3 linked regions of the Neodiprion lecontei genome follow. The protein of the gene in region 3 purifies or fractionates together with the protein of the main gene of each other region. This does not show direct contact. Links are inferred from orthologs where the notes say so. Each region holds a gene or a part of one and is shown on either strand. Other genes may lie near its edges. The genes, in order: MKI67 FHA domain-interacting nucleolar phosphoprotein-like, KRR1 small subunit processome component homolog and ATP-dependent RNA helicase DDX24.

Region 1 (6,329 bases), on a different chromosome or scaffold from region 3:
TTTCGACACTTTTTAATTTCGGAATTTGAACCCTATCCCCTGATCGACGTAATTTAAGTGGGTATATAAACAATCAAATTCCCATTTATCTTCGTCTTTTTCTTTCGAGTGTATCGAACTTAACACCAGCTTCTACAAATTTACTTCGTGACAAATATCCAGAGCATAATCCCTATATTTTATTCGATGAAGATAAATAAACTCTTTCAATTATTTCAGAGGCAAGTAAAAGGCTGAGCGGAACCGCGACGGAAAAACCACGCAAGGAAAGAACAGCATTTACTAAACAACAAGTTCGTCACTTGGAGTACGAATTCGCGCACATGAATTATCTCACCCGACTTCGGAGATACGAAATTGCCGTGGCTTTAGATTTAACGGAGCGGCAGGTAATTCTTTGTTAACGTTTATTTTCATAATTATTCAACTAATTCATACGATTTATGTAAATCACTTCGAATGAATGATTGAATAAAGCCTCGAGCCATGTTTGAATAATTCACAAAAATTATTAAACAAGGTGCAGTTAATAACTGTTCACGCGACATTGAATGATAGGGTTATTCAACTCTCATCCATTTTTTTCAGGTCAAAGTTTGGTTTCAAAACAGACGTATGAAATGGAAACGAACGAAAGGGTGCCCCTTATCTCAGAACCGCGGAAAAAAATTATGATTAATTCTGACCAGCGGAGTGGATATATAATAAAATATACAATACATTACGTATTTATATAAAATTTGTTTTTAATTAGAAGAAATAACTAAATTGTAAATATTATTCGCTAGTTTACAGTAAAGCGAATAAATTTATCGACAATATCAAAGGTTTATCGATTTCCGGAGCATAAAATAAATTCTTGAAATATTTCTAAAAGATTTATTATCAGGGCCGTGATAAATATGTATTAAAATTTTCAAAATATAATTATATAATATACTTGACAAACTAAAATATGGAACATATAAACTGTATTTTTTAGCACCAAACTCCATACTTTATGTAAAAAACGAAATAAGGAATAAAATTGATTTAAATAAACAAAATATATATTTACATATTAATCCAGGCCCTATTTGTTATCTTTAACTAAGATTTATTCAACGTTCTGTGCAGAACGTTTGTATAAAATAATTCTTTCGCAAAATCACAGATTACGCATACTTCGTTTATTAAACGCTGTGATGAAATACATGAGCTGTATGTACAATCCATTCCAAGGATCGTAGGAAAAATTATTTACGATTTCTAAAATCGTATATGAGGTAAAAGTTCCATTGATCTAATCGATCATTTTCACGAAACATAAAGTAAACCAAAACTCGATCCGTCACAATTGCTGAAAAACTCAATTACAATTAAATCCAGCTTAGTTCGATGCATCATCATTTATGCCGCTGCACCTTTCTTTTTCCCTTTCTTGCTCAGCGATACTTGAGCTGCTATTTGTTTTTTGGATTTTTTAACCGTTGGTACTAGGAAAGAAATTTTCTTTTGTCCCGACTTTTCAATGAGCGGCACTGCAGCAGGGATATTCTTTTGTACTTTCTGTTTTGTCTTTTTAACAGTTGGTGGATGATCAATCACTTCCACTTGCTGTTTCAGCTTCTTAGCAGTAGGCGGATGATCAATCGACTCAATTTTTCCCTTCAATTTTTTACCTACAAGTAATTCAGTTAACACTGCTTCTTTCTTCTTCTTAATAGGAACGGAATCAGCTGCCATTTTCTTCTTAGATTTTTTTGGCAAGCTTATTTCGGGTACTTGAACTGTGCATGTAGAAATTTTCTTCTTCGGTTTTGGAACTGCTAAAATACTAGCCTTGATAGCTACGGCAACCTCGTCAGCCGGTTTCAATTCTGACTTGTTCTTTTTCTTCGTCTTGTTAATCGCAGGTTCCTTGACAACTGCTTTTTTCTCCACTTTTTGTAAAGAACCATCTTCAGCGTCAATTTCACTCGCTACCGTACCATTGGAAGTTTTTATCTTTTTCGTTCCTGTTGAAGCTGGTCGAGAGGCAGAGCTTTTTCTCTTTTTAACTTGCGTGTCTTCGGGTACTTCAACGGGTTTAATCTTATAGAAAATTCCTGCCTGCTCAAGTTTTTTCTCCATAACAGAAATTTTTTTCATTTTCCGCTGAGCCAGCATACTGTCAACACTATTATCCACATTTTGGTTTTTTCGCATATTCTGTTCCTTTCTTTTCACTGATCGAGGAAATTGTTGCTTACTCCATGGACGCCCTGCGAAATAACGCCCATGCTGTTTCTCAGGCGGAATGTACGTCGCTGAAAACATTTTACGGAATAACAACAGTTAAGAAAACGTCGATACTTTACTGCTTATAAAATGAACTTGAATTTTCCTATCAAAACTAATCTACCTTTTAGCAGTCTTCCAGACATCAGGTAGTTGTTCATAGACTGTGCAGCAATTTTTGCCACTTCGCTGTGCATGAATTCTATGTACCCATAACCACAGCTTCTACCGGTCTACAAGATGGAAATGAATGAAAATACGTGTTTGCAACTTCAATGTTGTTTGGTTATATACTGAAAGAATAAGATCGTTGAAAACGAGGCTCCCAGATATCTACCTTTACAGATCTAACCACTCTAGCTCTGGTAACCTTCCCAAATTGCTTGAAATAGCTAATCATTTGTTCTTCGAAGAACCCATGAGGAATGTGCCCAAGATAAACAATCCCTCTATTAAGCGAAACTGATTCAGTTGACGATGGAACATCGCTGTTCTCGATAGGAATTATAGCTTCGGGTTTTTTAGGTTTCTGAAATGACAAATCGTCGAGTGTCAGTTTCAACTATCGGCTGACCGAAATAGCAGACTTGATTGGACTGGATAAGTTGCCGAATGCGCAACAGATTTATAGGTTATGTTAAACACGTGTTTGGATACATTCGAAACATACCGTTAAAAGTTTTTGCTTCACATTTTTAACGGCTTTGCTGAGTGTCGATTGATCCGATTGATCTGCAGCTTGTTTTGCTATCTTCATATTGTTTTTTCAAAAAAAAATTACTCCACTTTGAATTCTATTTATTCGATTATCGTGTGGAAAAAATTGAAGAAAATTAGCTGATGCGTAACGGTGGCGGGATTTGCGGAATTAAACTTTAGAGTCACTACGGTAGCGACAAAAGGTTCACTGAATATCCACCAGAGGTCGCCGCGACGCGTGATTGCCGCTTTTTTCAATGTATTCCGGAACACACTGTAGTAAAAAAATTGCGAGATCCGTCGGCTCCTGTCACACAACTGTCAACTACTGTCAACGTGAGCACAAGAGATAAGATCAGTAATCATCGATGAGGTTCGTTAATCATGTGTCATTATACGCGTGAAAATATAGACGTTATGGCAGGAATGACAGAGAAGAATATTCATCGTTGTTGCAACGACCTGAACGAAAGTTGGACGACATTTTTTTATATTTAGAGAAAAAGATTGTGAAATATATCAAAGACTTCAAAGTAACACGAGGTGCAACACGCAACACCAAAAATGATACTTATCTGTAGAAACAATTGAAGCAGAAAGTGGTTAACTAACGAAAATAAATATGGAGAAAGTATTCTCGATAAGCTGGTCAAATCGTATTTTATTGATCAGTCTTTTCTCTGTTACAATTTGCATGACGATTCAAACACACGTCGCTCATCTTACTGTGCCGCTTCATTTTTTAATATCTTGGGCAATTTTTGTGATCACTATATCGATATGGCTAAGCTGTTTCGTATTGAGATTAATGCTCAAAGTCAACGCACCTTTGACCACTGAACCTTTCAACAAATGGGCTCAGGGATGGATGAAAAACGACCAAACAGGTAGTAGTCATCAGCCACAAAAACCGGTAGTTAAAAGTGTCGATAACGATGAAGAAACGAAGGACGAAAATCAGATAGACAGACAAAACACAGAGATAAATAATCTTCTCAGAGACCTGAGGGCTGATGGAAATTTAGATGATGGATCTGTTTTAGAACAGGACCTGCCTGTAACTTTTGTGGAAAAAATAAATGTGGAAAAAGTTATAAACGATATTGATGCGAACTTTGTTAAAATTTGGTACAGAAATGTGAGCAATGACGATGCTTTTCCTAACGAGTCCAAACAGTTGCTCGAAAATCTGATTCTTAAATTCAATCATCAATTGATACGAATTGATCGAATTGAATTGGCTAGAAAAATTGGCAATATATTCTTGTTGCATTTGAAGGAATATCGTAGGTAATGATCCACATGTTAAACATTGTATAATTATGCACTGCAATTACTGATTCACCTAGCTTCGTTTTCATTGCAGTCTCACTTAGGAAACTAACGATTTACTGCAATGTTGTTATTCCTTTCATCAGAGCGCTGCGTCGTGTTGAGAAGGGAACTGCACTAGACATCGAAGAAGCCTATCGCTATGTTCATCCGGGTTCGCGAAGCCTAGCGGCGTTAGAGCACAGTCTTCATCGAGTGGTCACTGTATTGGCAAGAGAATTTTTACAATGGGAATTGACTAGTTCGTTACCTTGTAAACTCTTATTTTCAATACTGGCTAAAAAATTGCTCACAGGAATAGAAAGCATAAGTTCGCCAGAGTGGATTTTAGAAGAAATTGTAAGAGCGATTAGCTCAGAACCAGTAAAAAATGAGAAATGTGCTTCGGCTAGCGAGGTGGTAATACCTTCTTTCTATTTATTTGGGGATCTCCTTTAATCCAAATCATACTCATCAAAGTCGAATCTTTTCAGAGTGTTGTGTCTACGGCACTCAGTGATGCCATACGTTCCACAACAGCTGCAGCGATATCGCGTCCCTTACCTAAAGCTGGTCAAGGTGCTGATATTTCACCAGATTTCAAAGATAACAATCAGAATGCACAAAGCACAATGGAAAGGAAAGCTGCTCTGAGTTTGGAGGGCTTAGAAATAAGTCACAGAGGATTGTGGGCTAATGTTGAAATATCTGAACCTGATTCTGAACCAGAGGAAGACAGATTGTCTCCGGTTTATGAAGAACCAACTGATTTTGCAACGACTATCGCCAGACTGCGAAGTCTTTTGCACCAAAAATCCAACGCCTCAACACCATTGTAAATGTGTATTTTTTTCAACCAGTTTAATTCAGACCTGGCCGCTTCTCCAGGTTCATGCAAAATCTTAATTTGGAAGCTAATAAAAAAATAATCCCGAAGCTTCTACTAAATTTAATTGCAGACAATTGGAGGAAAAGTCTTGCACAGTTTACGAAGGCAGCCACTTAACTATTCCTTGGACAGAGTTTCATACGGCACCCGATGGCTCTCAGCAGCTCCTGTACTGCATACAGTTTGACGACATAGAACAGCATGGATCACACTTATTTGAAACTACTACAGCCACCGTTAAGAGGCAGTACTCAGATTTTGTACAACTTCACGCTAGTCTAGCAGAAGTAATTATCAACTGACATACAACCATGCTTAATAATCGCTGAAACACAGACGTAAAAAGCATTCAAATATCTAACTTCAGGTTCCATCATTGGCGGTTGCAATATCAAACATAACTTTACCAGAAGGCGGACGTGTGGAGATGGAAAATTATTTAAAACTAGTTTGCTCTCGTTTAGCTGCCGATTATCCACCACAATTACGTCACTTTTTGAGGCCAAGCAGCAGCAGTAATAAAAAAGCGGACACAGTGGCACCACGCCTAGATAGATTTTTGGCTAAAACCGTAAGCGGAGTATTCAATACTTTGAAAACTGTTGTGCCTGGTTTTGAAATGGATACAGAAATAGAAGTGATGCCGATGCCGACATTAATGTCACTGGCTGATGTTCCGTGGCGGTTTGTTGAGGACTTAAAATCTGTGAGTTTCAAGTGTCTTCCAAAGTTCTATCCAATAATATATTTCCACTACTGCCAATAACTTTTATTATAAAATCAGCAGAATTTAGCTCGAGAATTGCAGCAATTGGTCGCGGAAAGAATGGACTACTGTTCTGTGGACACGGCTTACGAAGCAGTCGAATCGGTCGAAGGTAGCGGTGACTCAGAGCTGCTGGCTCATTGGTGGGAAATTTTTAACACACCATACGACGGTCAGTAATCCTACCTCCAACATTGTACGCGATGAACAGATCTAATTTCCATCAATTAGCAGTAACTACTTTGAGAAGTTCTAAATTGAATGCAGCTATAACTTCAATAATAATATTTTAATTTTTGCAGAAGAACTTGATGAGCTGGACAGTAAGATAACTTTAACGCAACTAGTTGTCGACTTGGCTTCTGAAGTTTTGGGTGGATCCGGATGTGACAACGTTATAGAACA
Region 2 (5,633 bases), about 22 Mb from region 3:
TATTATAATGGATTGCTTAATTATAATAAGATTATAATTTTTGAACTGTGATTACATTGCGAGTTCAGAAGTGCGTCACGATAATATCTGCGTCAGATAGGCGTCGTGATGTATCCTTGTTAAGGATTCGTGAACAATTATTTTGTATCTCATGATTTTCCAAATCTAAACAGTCAACGAGCAATTGAATTGTACCCGTTGTAAGACCAACGATAAGTATGCCAAAATCTAGCGTTGGTTGATTTCGAATAGTTGGTTGAAAAAAGTTTTTGTAAAAATCTAAATATCGTCTGCGTTTAGGGAAAAAAAATTTATCTGTCAAGTACAAGGTGGACGTAAATTGAAATTTTTATTCAATTTAACCACGCCTAGTAGTCAAAATTTGTAAATGTTGTTGTCCGTCAATATCACAATTTACTTATTGATCACAAATGTTTATTTAAATTGAAATTTTTCTCTTCGTTTAAATTAGTACAGGCGATGTACTGTATTTTGACTTGGTTGTGCAAATGGGTATAGGTAATTATGATAAAACAATTATGATATTTAGTCGATAAGAGAATCAGCAACAGCAATATGAGACGATACAAACTAAGTATTCTTTTGTAATAACTCCTAGCTTGTTCCTTGCTGTTACGTATTAACAGCAGTGCTGGTATAAGTGTACGTAAGCTTTTGCATCATGAACCTATCACTTCTGCATTAGATTGTCATTAAACTGATGGAAAATACAGTCGGGATACCAATCATGTCAAAAAATTTTACGATAAGATTGGTTCAAGCACGTAGGATATAAGAAATTTATTATATATAACATATTATAACATAATACAATATTAGGCACTTTTTGGCGAGCACTGGTATAGCAACCAAAGTGTACCAAAAGGTACCAAACGCGTTTTCTACACTTGAGTCTTCTTCCCAATATTTCGCGCCTTTAACTACGAACAAAACGAACCAGAGCGTTTTAGTGTGCCGTTATACTTGACCAGAGTTAAGCTCCGCCCATACCAGAAGCAACGACGATTTATACCACTGGTTTATACCACTGTATTCGCCGAAAAATGCCTATTATACTTGCGTTATAGTAGGTAAGACGGTATCGATCTTCAATCCGTTTCTGATGTCCCCGGTAATTAAAATGAAGGCTTTCGTTAAATCTGGTCGTTTTCGTCTGCGAATATACTGCAGACTACACAATAAACTTACTAAGTTATACGTATAATGAATATCATAAATACGTACTGTAAATAATAGTTATATTATTATTAATTATCTAAATATAAATGATATAAAAACGTCGTACTTCCGCAATTTTAGGCTGTAAGATAAAATGTGACATAAATTAATTGATTATTCAGTTACATAGGAAGTTAACAGTCAATGATAATGTGTATGTAACCAGTCCATTTAAATAGACCCACCACTTGATTTCTGTGAATAACGAATATGGATGGATTATAAATGAAGAATAACACCTGTACGAGTAAAATGACACAATGACAGAGAAATGGTCGAAGTAGTAATAAAAAAAGAAACAAAAAAAAACGAGCGGCGATACTTAGAGATTGACAATAATGAAAAAAATTTGGCGTACTTCAAATGAACTTTGTATAACAAAAAAAAAAAAAACTTTTTAAACCTACGTACTCATCAAATTGTCGGGATTATCATTCAATTATAAAGTTCTACCGGCTAAAAAATCATACGCTAGTGTTTCATGTATTCCACACTTTGTATTGTATAATAATGAAATGAATGTAAATTAAGATGAAACAAAGTGAACAAAAAAAAGTATGCTAAACGATTATAGGAGAAATTTTTTTTAATAAAAACAAGGATTTTTTTCCAAAAACTTTACGTTAATTTATTTACAAAATTTTTTTAATACAACCCGGCTTAATCTTATAAAAAATAAACGTACCACAAGTTGTAAGTTTAGTATGATAAAAGTATATACACAGTTTAGGAAGGAGCAGCGCTACGTTTTTTAAAACCTTTTTTAACTTTTCTCTTAAACTCCTCGATGTTGATATCTCCTTTCTTGCTAACATTTTTCGTTGCAACATTTTCCTCAGGAGCAACAAAGGCCTGAGCTCTTCTTTCGACTCTCTTTTTGGCAGCCTCCTCATGCCTGGTCTCCTGTTCCTTACGTTTCTTAGCCTGTTTCTGTTCCTCTTTAAGGAAGAATTCTCCAGATGCCAACTGTTTATCGATTTTACTTTCTTGCTGCGGCGGAGGAAACGGTGTGTATTCCTTCTTAGCCTTTTTATTCTTTGGCTGTTTTCTTTTGCTAACATTTTTGCTGTTAAACTTTGGTAAAAATCTCTCCCAATTTTCGTTTTTCAGCTTAGGATCCTTGGCCAGTTCTCGCTTTATCATCAACGCCTTGATATTGTAAATCGGATGCACGTTCTTCATTGTATCTTCGCAGATTCGTCGCACCTGCTGCAGTCCCTTGTAGGGCCCAAGAGCAGCTACGGTTTGCCCTTGAACCAAAACATAGCACTTAGTTAACAGCTCGATTGACTTCAGTGTGCAGCCGTTGGGTCCGATTAGCCGCTGTCTTCGTTTGACAAACTTCTCCTTGTTCCTGACCAAGGACGATATTTTAATAATATCAGCACCGATGTCGTCCTGTAGAACTTTGACTGCCTGTTCGTATGGCACAGACCTAGACATCAGTTTAATCATGTCCCGGGCCTTGATAATTATGTAGGGATCCCAAGTTGTTCGTGTCGTCTTCACCGTCATGCTACCTTCAATCAGATCTAATTCAGCCTTGATACCCTGTTCCTGTAACGACTTCTGCACCAGCGGCCAACACTGTTTCAAATATTTTTCTCTGTACTTTGGAAACAACGTTGCGAACGAACTTTCCTCTAGTAAACGGTGTGGGTTGTGTTCCGGCTTGAATGCAGGAACCTTGAGGTCCCACGCATTGTCTACAGGGTCTGTATTTACTGGCCGGTCATCCTCCTTTTCAGAATCACTCATTTTCTTAAATTTATTTATTTATTTATATCGCAATGTCTTCGGAACCAGTTCGCACGTGGGTTTAGGCTACGCGCTTTCAGGTTATGTTGATGAAATTTCTGTGGCAGCAGTGAGTAGAGTGAGTGACGGTGAGTGAGCAGTCAACGATTTGACCGAAGGTTCGTGAACTTCAGAATATCGAATAGCAGCGCTCTGCTGCAAGTCCGCCATCTTGCATCCGACACAATATCGACATATCGGTAAGTCAAGTTTTATTTATGCTAATGAGCGTTTACAATTTCAGATTTGACCTAACGGCCGTTGTATCGACACTTGTGATATTTTTATTTTTAGTTATCTATATTTATATATTCACTTTCAACATGATGAGGAAAAATCGATGTCGCGAACCTGCGGCATCCAATTTGAAAATTAGTCGCAGAGTCTACCCTCTAGAAAACTACTTGAAGTAATTTAGCCATGCTCGTAAAGTCACAAGTGACAGCTGATTGTGATCATTCTAGTCGTGTGAAGGTTAACTTTCAACTACTAACCTAGTGCTCAAGCTTAAGCCTACTAACCAAAAGTAAAATAATATGTGATCACGATATTGTAAGTCAGTAATTATTGAAGAATTGACGTTGTGTTTGAGCGTGGCAAGCAATGGCCGATAAAAGTTCGCTATTTCAACTGAGCGACAATATCGCAGGATTGTCTGACGACTCAAAACCATCTGGTGATACTGGGCTCGGGCGTTACTTCAGCAATACGACTCACACGATATTCGATGAAATTGTCCCACCGGAAAAACAAGACATGCTGGAACAACCTTCGGCATCTGCGAGTCCTCGCCCAGTATTTGACTCCTTCTTGACAGACCCGTCAAACAGCTTCCTTGAAAACAGTTTGTCAGATGCTGCGGAACAAGTCTCCGACCATGTCACGGCCAGCGACATTCATAGAGATGCTTGGATCCCCTCGGATCAAACCAAAAAAGTATTAGCCTCGATAGCAACGTCGACGCCTGGAAGTAATTTTCCTGATAGAGAAAATCTGACGATGCCCGGACTGACGTTGCAGGGAGATTTGACCGATACGACTAAGGAGGCTGCGATTCACTTTCTGGGAGAAGAAGAAAACATTCATCGCAACGTTCTCACAGCTTCTGATGTAACGCAGGACGAACGTGGTCTGAGGAATTTGATTCAGACAGGATGTTACCGAGCGGCGATTAATCTTACTGGCAGACTGCTAGCAATTTATGGACAGGGATATGGGAAGATTAATCATCCCAGCAAACACACTCCACACTCTCTCCAATTGTGGTTTACAAGACTCGCACTTTTGGCAAAATTGAAGCACGTCGAAGTTCTTGAAAACGAGTCTAAGCCCTTTGGGAATTTAGATAAGCCTGATATGTTTTTCACATTTTATCCAGAACTTTATGGAACCAGACCTGGATCCATGGCCTGTTTTGCCTTCAGGCTGCTTCTAGCTGAGATACCTGCCTATTGCAACAAACCGAGAGTCGCTCTGGACAACCTGCATAAGGTTTTATCTACTGTAAAACAAATTATAAAAAACTTGAAAAAGGGATTCGGGGAGGATGGAGGACGCCTCAAATTCACACCGACGGAAAGAGATGACGCAATCAGATTATGGGTCGGCAGAGAGTCTAGAGTACTAATTTCCGTTGTCAACTGTGCTTTGACTCTAAAGAACTACATTTTAGCCGTTGATATTTTGGAGAGCTTGAGTGAAGGCACAGATTGGAATCCAGAGCAGAGGCAAATACTAAAATCAGCAATTAGTAGGGTTCTACTTTTACTCGGCGATGTATCAGCAGCAGAGAAGCAGTTCGCTGATGGCAGAGAAAGCTTTCAAAATCCCTCAAACTCCAAGGAATTAACAGACAGAGGCCTGATGGCTGTAGCTCAAAACGCATTTCAAGAAGCCTACAATTGTTTTAAAAAAGCCTCAGTCCTAGAACCGTCTAATATTATGCTAGTAAATAATATGGCTGTATGCTTACTTTACAATGGGCAACTTCAAGCTGCTGTACATTTATTAGAAAGTGCACTAGTCAGAAACCCAACTAAAGGACTACAGGAAGCGTTGTTGCTGAATATTTGTACCTTGTATGAATTACACACGACTCATAGTACACAGCCCAAACTACATTTATTGAGACAATTAAATCGATACAAAGGAGATGCCATTGCGGTGCAATGTTTAAAACTATCGCTTTAGAAGTTGCTAATTTAATAATTCTTGATTACGTTAGAGTAAGACCCTGTAATTGAACAACCTTATTCAGTTTTTCTATTTATTGTTAATATTTTAGTTAATGATTACTTGAAGTTTATTGTAGAAATTGTTATGGAGAATCAGTGCAATGGTGTTATCACTGTGTCAATGTTATTCGATTGGAAGTGATATTCAAACATTAAATTTGAGTTCATAAATCTACCTAGCATTATTCATAAATTAATGGACAAGGAGTATTATTACTTCGAAAAGCATCAAATTATCATCCACACCCACAATATCCTCACCATTAAAAAATTTTTTTTTTTAGATTTTGGATACCAATATTCCGTTTATGTTTTGTGTGACTTCAAACCACACTACTAAAGGACTACGATATCCACAACGGT
Region 3 (6,650 bases):
ATACCTCAGATGTTCTTGGCACTTGATAGTGAATCACATGTTCTACATTAGGTATGTCTAAACCTCTGGCAGCGACATCAGTAGCTATTAAGACACCATTTTCATTTGCCTGGAATCTAAAGATACGCTGATGTTTATCAAGCTTCAATAGACAGGTAAAAAGCTGTTAAATGCAGTACTCCATTCCGTGTGCACAATTTGAGTATACCTTTCAAGGTTCTTCAACCTTTGCCGTTGTTGCATACTAGCATGCAGCGGTAAAGGATTGCATTCTAAAATCTCCAATAAAGTCGCAAGCCTTCTGACGCAACCAATACTGTTACAAAATACCAAAGTTCTACCAGCATGTCTTTTCAGTAAATAATAAAGGTAGTAGTCTTTATGATCAATTGTACATGCTATACGACATTCAGTCAAACTTGCAGCAGTTCCTATAAAATATGACAAGTTCCATCACAATGTCAAGGGAAATATGCAATTAAATTAATCGACCAAAAGTTTACCAGATTGTTTAGTAACATCAACAACTTTAGGATTTGAAATGCCTATCATTTCAATAACTTTTTTCAACTTCTGTTCGGGTGTGAATTTCTGTATTTTATGTCGGTGTTTATTTTTCTTCTTTGACAAATGCTGCGGAATATCATGAACCATGGTCAGTGTCGCGGAGAAAACGAACGTTTGTCGCGTTTTCATTTTTTCACCGTTCATGTTTATTTTTTCGAGAAGACTGTGTAACTCTTGAAAGTGTCCTCTTTCCACCATTCTATCTGTCTCATCAATAGCCAGAAATCTGAAGCAAAAGAAAAAAACGGTCGTGTTATTGATTCTCATCGGAGAAAAAAGTTAAATACTTCATCACTCTAAGTATAGAAGCTAGAAATTGTTTTGTTCAATAGAGCTTGCAACAAAGGGGAAACTTCATTACTTGACATCATCAACTTGATTAAGGTGCGCGTTGCCTTCTTGAATAAGTTCCCACAATCGACCTGGTGTAGCAACAACTATTTCCGGTGATTTGCTAAGAATTCTCTCCTGCTTAACAGCAGCCATCCCTCCCACGACGACAGCAATCTTGAAGTGAAATCTTTGTAAGGTATGAAAGGAAAAATTTACCTGTTACAATTTCTTTGCCAAAACTTACTCTGATCCCAGTGTATTTTGCAGCCTTGACAAGATGGTTTTTAACTTGAATAGCCAACTCTCTGGTTGGTGTTAGAATTAAGGCGTACAGGGGCTTTTTTGGAGAGCCGCGCGAGTCATTAATCATAATATTATCAATTGCTCTGACACAACCGATACCTTCCGCATTTAACAGTTCATCACTAACAATTTCTTCTCTTTCTTCAAAATCTGATTCTTCCTCATTATCCTCTTCACTTTCTTTTATGACATAGTCGTGTTCTAACAAAAAAGTTATATTGTAAATACATGGTGTGAAATATATGCTCACCAAAGCCAAGTACTATTTGTCAAACTGCTTATTGTTTCTTTGCATGGTAGTAGAAAAAAGGTATTTACTCATTTAACAAAATAATTGTAGTATTATTCTTTCAACTATTTAAGGTACAATTGTGCACTTCAAACTTTACAAATTAATGTCTCGAGAATTCTTTAAGGTAATAAACAGAATCTTTCGTTTAAAAATTAATGCTCCAAAGAAAACTCTTTGGACTCCTAGCTTGCAATGATTTCGACATCATCGTATTTTTGTTGAGAAAGAACTTCACTTTTATTCCTTAAGGGTATTTATAGGAGTAGAAGGCTGAAAAAGAGAATAGCAACCAATTATTAAATTCGATTAGGGTTTGATTTATTCAGAAGTATGAAGATCAAGCTTTATTTACGTATTTTTGTTTAACAGAATGAATCGGAAGTATTTTTATGTCTTCCAGTGCCCGCAGTACCTCAAAAACAGCTGAACCGATTTATGTAAATTCAGTGACAGTATTTCTGGATAGTTTATTCTCTGCGATGATCCCACTTATTTTTTTAACAATCACATTTTTGTGTTAGTTAAATAAAAAAGTTGTAAGAATTGGATGAAAAATCGTATTTCAATTCACCAAGCAAAATGGTTGACATAAGACTATCATTGCTACAATTGATTTTAAAGAAAAATATGCAAATGAAGTTCGATCTACATACTTTTGAATTAAACAAACCTCAATCAAATTGAACAATTGGTTGTCAAAACAAAAGTACCCAAGCATCATAGACTGTTTAAACCATCTAGTCATATACACATTAAAGTATTGTAATTCATATTAAATTATTTTCAGCCAATTACCATTAGCAGTCATTTACAAAATTAGTGATACCACATAATTTCTAGCATACTGCTTGAGCATATTCTATTTAATCAAAAAGAGAGTTGAAATAATCATCGCAAATAACAGTTTTCTAGTTGGAATATATAGTCCCTAATTTCTATTTAAAAATGTCTCTCGTGTTATTCAAGTGAAATTGATTCTGGGTAGCCAATAAACCAATGGCATTATTGCTACATGTGCAACAATTTCGAAAAATTGAAGTATGATATTCGACGAAGTTTCTCGATCCAAGCAAGTTCCTCGTCATTTCAAAATAAGCCATTGATCTTAGATTCACTGATTTTGTCAATGCATACAAACGATTTCAAGTCAAACACTTTGTAACAATGAAAATGCATAACTCTATTGACATAGACAATCAGAGATAATTACAAACCAGAATCTGAATATTCTTCATTTGACAATTCATCCATAGAGAGTATATCTTCGTCATCTTCATTTTCTGATTCACCTAATTTGTTCCAGTCCTGATCACCTGTTTCAGTTGAATTATTGCTTTCATTCACTTTATCTGCCTCTTTCCTCTGAGCCTCCAGAATACCATTTAAAATTGGTAAACCAAAAGCCAAAGTTTTTCCACTTCCTGTTTCAGCGGCACCTAAAATATCTCTCCTTCCCAAAATTGCTGGAGCCAAGGTCAGAGCCTGAATTGGTGTCGGAGCTTGAAAACCTTGGTCAGCCAATGCTTTTACCAATATTTCAGGTACACCCAGCGAAGTCCATGAATGTACGTTTATATCTGATTTTAGATTGTCCAGATTGATCAGACATCCATCCTCTGCGTCAACCTCATGCCCGTTTTTATCCAAATTAGATTCGCTATCGGATCCAATACCAGACTCTTCTTCAATTAGATCAGATTGCTTTATACCACGTTTATCGTCGAATTTTTGCTTCTTCTTCTTCGGCTTCACTTTCTCTCCTTTCACAGCTGCTCTAAGTTTTTTCTTTTGAGCTGAATGCTCGTCTTCCTCGTCATTGTCAATCTGGTCATCGAGTTTCTGAGCCTTTTTCTTCTTGTTACCCTTGTTTGTTAAATATGATTCAATTTTCTTGTTATTAATATTAAAGAAAATTGGCAGAGCTATTGGTTATTCTCTGTAATGTTACTGACTACACGTCATAAATCAATCAACTAAAACTATGCTGTAAGCAGATTTTCCTTTCATGCACTGCGAAAGTTCGTTAATATTGTCCAGATACTGTAAGTTTTACAAATTTCTCAATCCCTTCAATATCCTTAATATGTATCATCTGTTATCGGTAGTGATTTAACTCTCGAAAGAAGAAGTGCTGCTCTATCGTACCAGAGTTATCTTGATATTTATTTCGTGTGCTTGTACATAATATTGAGACCATTGTTCGGTGAAAGGTATAGTATTAGAGATATTTAAAATTATTTCAATATGCAGGAAACCATTTACCTTGTCTAATTTGTCATCGGAGCGAGTTGCTTTTCGTTTTTTGGTTCCTTTTTCGAGACTGTAATCCGTCAATTCTTCAATTCCGATCAGGCCGTCAATACCTTCAGCAAAAAAGGCACCCTCCAATTTTAACGGTTTCCACGTCTTAGATTTATCCTTTTTGATTTTCCCCATTGCTTGTTTGTTTCGACTAAACATAACCTCGATTTGCGAGGAAAGAAACGCGCATATCACGACGAACACGTGCGAGCATTGAATTCGAAGCGAGTCAGATGACAGGGAAGTATAACTATATTATATAACCTAACTACCTAACTATAAAATTGAACCAAGCGGTGAAAATATGCACTAGAGTTAGTAAGTTATGCTGTACATAACGCAGTATCGGGTGATTTTGTTTTTGTAATTTTAATTAATGTATAAAATGAAATTTTGTCTACAAGAAATTTGTGAATTTGCTTGCACAAAGCCAAGCAATAAAAACTTCATTGGAGGTGAGGGTTTTAAATGCTGGACACGTGATAAAATGTGGACAAGTACCAATCAGTGGTTGCAATGTTATAAGTGTTTTAGCTTTTTGTTTACAAACATTAATTATTCATTATATTAAAAATAATCCCTATGAAATAACTGGTCAAATAATAAACGACGGTCGAATAATTGGAATGAGTTCTTCTTATAAGGCAGGTCATTCGTAAACACGTCGCAGTATTACTCCATTGCAACCGGTAAGATATTTTGTCACATTCATAACCTATAACAGTTATTTTATTTTTCCAACAATTAATTTATTAAAATCGATTTTTATTTTTACAGCAATGATTTGAAGAGCTTGCCAATGATTACTTGCACTCATAAAAAATGTGTATGGATTGGCTTCATGAATCTTCATTAGAAAAATAGAAGGCAAGCCATTACATGAACATGAGTGTCTTTTATCGGCGAAAAAAAAAATTTCCATGCTTAAAATATAAGGGAACAAAAGAAATTTAAGCTGGAGATGTTAACAACACTGAATCGATGGATTTTAATGAAAATTTACAGCTGTCTGAAAAGCAAGAAGTACAATTTTTTGCTCTAGCTTTACACGTGTAAATTTTACGCTGACATTTTATTTTTACATTTTTATCATCAATTTTTGACCTGATTTTTTTACACATATATCACTATTACAAATTCCTATTATTTGCATTACATATTTTTTCAAAGCCTGATTGCATGTTTTACAAATAATCATGTTTTATGAAAGAGTATTAAACTGCTACATAAATTGATTTTTAAAAACATTACGCTTTTTTGTCAAATCTAATTATGAAATTATTATTAATAAATTATTTCACAATTTCAATGATGTTGTGTTTTTATTTTATAATATTCTTTTCTCTCTTTCTGTTTTATTTACAGAATTACAAGACATGAGTATATCCAAGTTTCAAGCAATAACAATAGTGCTATCATTTGTTCAGGAAGAATTCTAGCTGTTTTTAGTAATCAAAAGTCCTCAGTCTTTCTCGATAAACTAGAAAAAATTGATGTTAATCCTCTTCAGAACTGCTGTAAGAAAATAGTCGAACAATATTAAATGGAGTTGCTCAACTACTGAATTTTATTCTGTTGGGAGAAAGAAAGACAATTTAGAATTACAGGAAGTGATCCAAGCTATAGATTATTTACTTATAGTAAAAATAAGAACTCGATTGGTAGTACAAATCATTAAAGTATTTTTATCCAACTGTGATAAGTAATACTTATACTAGACATGGTTTAAAATGAACCCACAGCATGTGAGCTTTATGAAAATTCCACACAGTTCAAAGTTGTTGAATGCAGTCTTATTATTGCACACAATAATCCTTAGCTCGGTTGCTCACCTGATGCTATTGTATTCGATGATTTTAAATCTATAAAAATAATTGAAATAAAATGTCCTCTCCTTTTTTTTTTATCAAGACTCAATTCTTCAGTACCTTCAGCTGTCAGTACCTTGTTTATAAGTGATCTCCTACGTATTCTTTCTTCTCTAGAATTTACATGACGAGTATATTTTGTAGTTGATCCTGGAGGAATATTTTGAGAAGGAACACTTATTTTCTTAAGTTAAGAATGAGTCGAACCAACAGCTATTACATGATGGTAAAAATTGTCTTTGTTAAAATGGAGTGAAAAGATCTTATACTGGTCATTACACTTTTTCCAATTCTCAACACTGGTCCAAGCTACGCGACTATCGCTTTTGTATTTATCACCAAAGTTGTTGATTCTATCGACGAAATCTTTATTGGGATGTGGAAGATGGAAAAACTTGATTTTTTCATCACCATAAGCTTTACATTGACAATCAAACACACAGCAATACACGTTACTTTTATTTTTTCGCGCAGGGAATTCCATAATCAAAACAATGACTTGGATCGACTATTCACTTTTTAAATCTTAATTATTAATCGAAAAACTAAAAAATAATATTAACATTTCCACATAAACAAATACATAGTCAGCTGTTAGCAATTCGAGCTACGCGCTCACGGTCAGATGTTGAATTTGGTCACTAGATAGCGTATCCGAAGACCACCTAGAATAAGATACCTATATCTAGAGTTGAACAACAGTTTCCCAATTGACACGCTTGTCGAATTCGAAGAAAATAACAGGTAGAGACTTAATAGATAATTTCCTAAAAATACATAAAAGCACTGATATATTATACATTTCAGTGAGGACTCTTAGCTTTCCAGGCCTGAGTTACACAATTTTTGATTGAGGACGTACCGGTATCTTTCGAGTCTCGTCAATATTTACAATAACTCCTTTTGTACGTATTAGGTTTGATTAATAACGTGTTATTTGTCGGTGTAAAACGTCGAGATACAAGTAGCCAATAATAATGCGTTGG

The links.
Region 1: the proteins of ATP-dependent RNA helicase DDX24 (region 3) and MKI67 FHA domain-interacting nucleolar phosphoprotein-like purify together in Homo sapiens (affinity purification with mass spectrometry; 3 studies listed by BioGRID and IntAct, counting the BioPlex papers as one, with this or other methods). This does not show direct contact. The link is inferred for Neodiprion lecontei from reciprocal best matches to the Homo sapiens genes DDX24 and NIFK.
Region 2: the proteins of ATP-dependent RNA helicase DDX24 (region 3) and KRR1 small subunit processome component homolog purify together in Homo sapiens (affinity purification with mass spectrometry; 3 studies listed by BioGRID and IntAct, with this or other methods). This does not show direct contact. The link is inferred for Neodiprion lecontei from reciprocal best matches to the Homo sapiens genes DDX24 and KRR1.

Annotation. Positions count from the first base shown.
Region 1 is NC_060260.1:4,670,081-4,676,409, forward strand, and holds MKI67 FHA domain-interacting nucleolar phosphoprotein-like, read right to left. Parts: upstream 3,134-6,329; 5' UTR 3,017-3,133; coding exon 2,930-3,016; intron 2,789-2,929; coding exon 2,597-2,788; intron 2,493-2,596; coding exon 2,384-2,492; intron 2,289-2,383; coding exon 1,390-2,288; 3' UTR 1,155-1,389; downstream 1-1,154. Other genes in the region: uncharacterized protein LOC107226332, read left to right, coding at 3,581-4,248, 4,377-4,686, 4,764-5,104, 5,229-5,445, 5,526-5,864, 5,943-6,096, 6,227-6,329.
Region 2 is NC_060262.1:40,402,223-40,407,855, forward strand, and holds KRR1 small subunit processome component homolog, read right to left. Parts: upstream 3,125-5,633; 5' UTR 2,998-3,124; coding exon 1,966-2,997; 3' UTR 1,880-1,965; downstream 1-1,879. Other genes in the region: trafficking protein particle complex subunit 12, read left to right, coding at 3,640-5,226. UniProt on the Homo sapiens protein: Part of the small subunit (SSU) processome, first precursor of the small eukaryotic ribosomal subunit.
Region 3 is NC_060262.1:18,438,591-18,445,240, forward strand, and holds the start of ATP-dependent RNA helicase DDX24, read right to left. Parts: upstream 4,034-6,650; 5' UTR 3,956-4,033; coding exon 3,758-3,955; intron 3,359-3,757; coding exon 2,710-3,358; intron 1,405-2,709; coding exon 1,145-1,404; intron 1,075-1,144; coding exon 929-1,074; intron 794-928; coding exon 504-793; intron 432-503; coding exon 209-431; intron 117-208; coding exon 5-116; intron 1-4. Other genes in the region: GPN-loop GTPase 1, read left to right, coding at 4,173-4,251. UniProt on the Homo sapiens protein: ATP-dependent RNA helicase that plays a role in various aspects of RNA metabolism including pre-mRNA splicing and is thereby involved in different biological processes such as cell cycle regulation or innate immunity.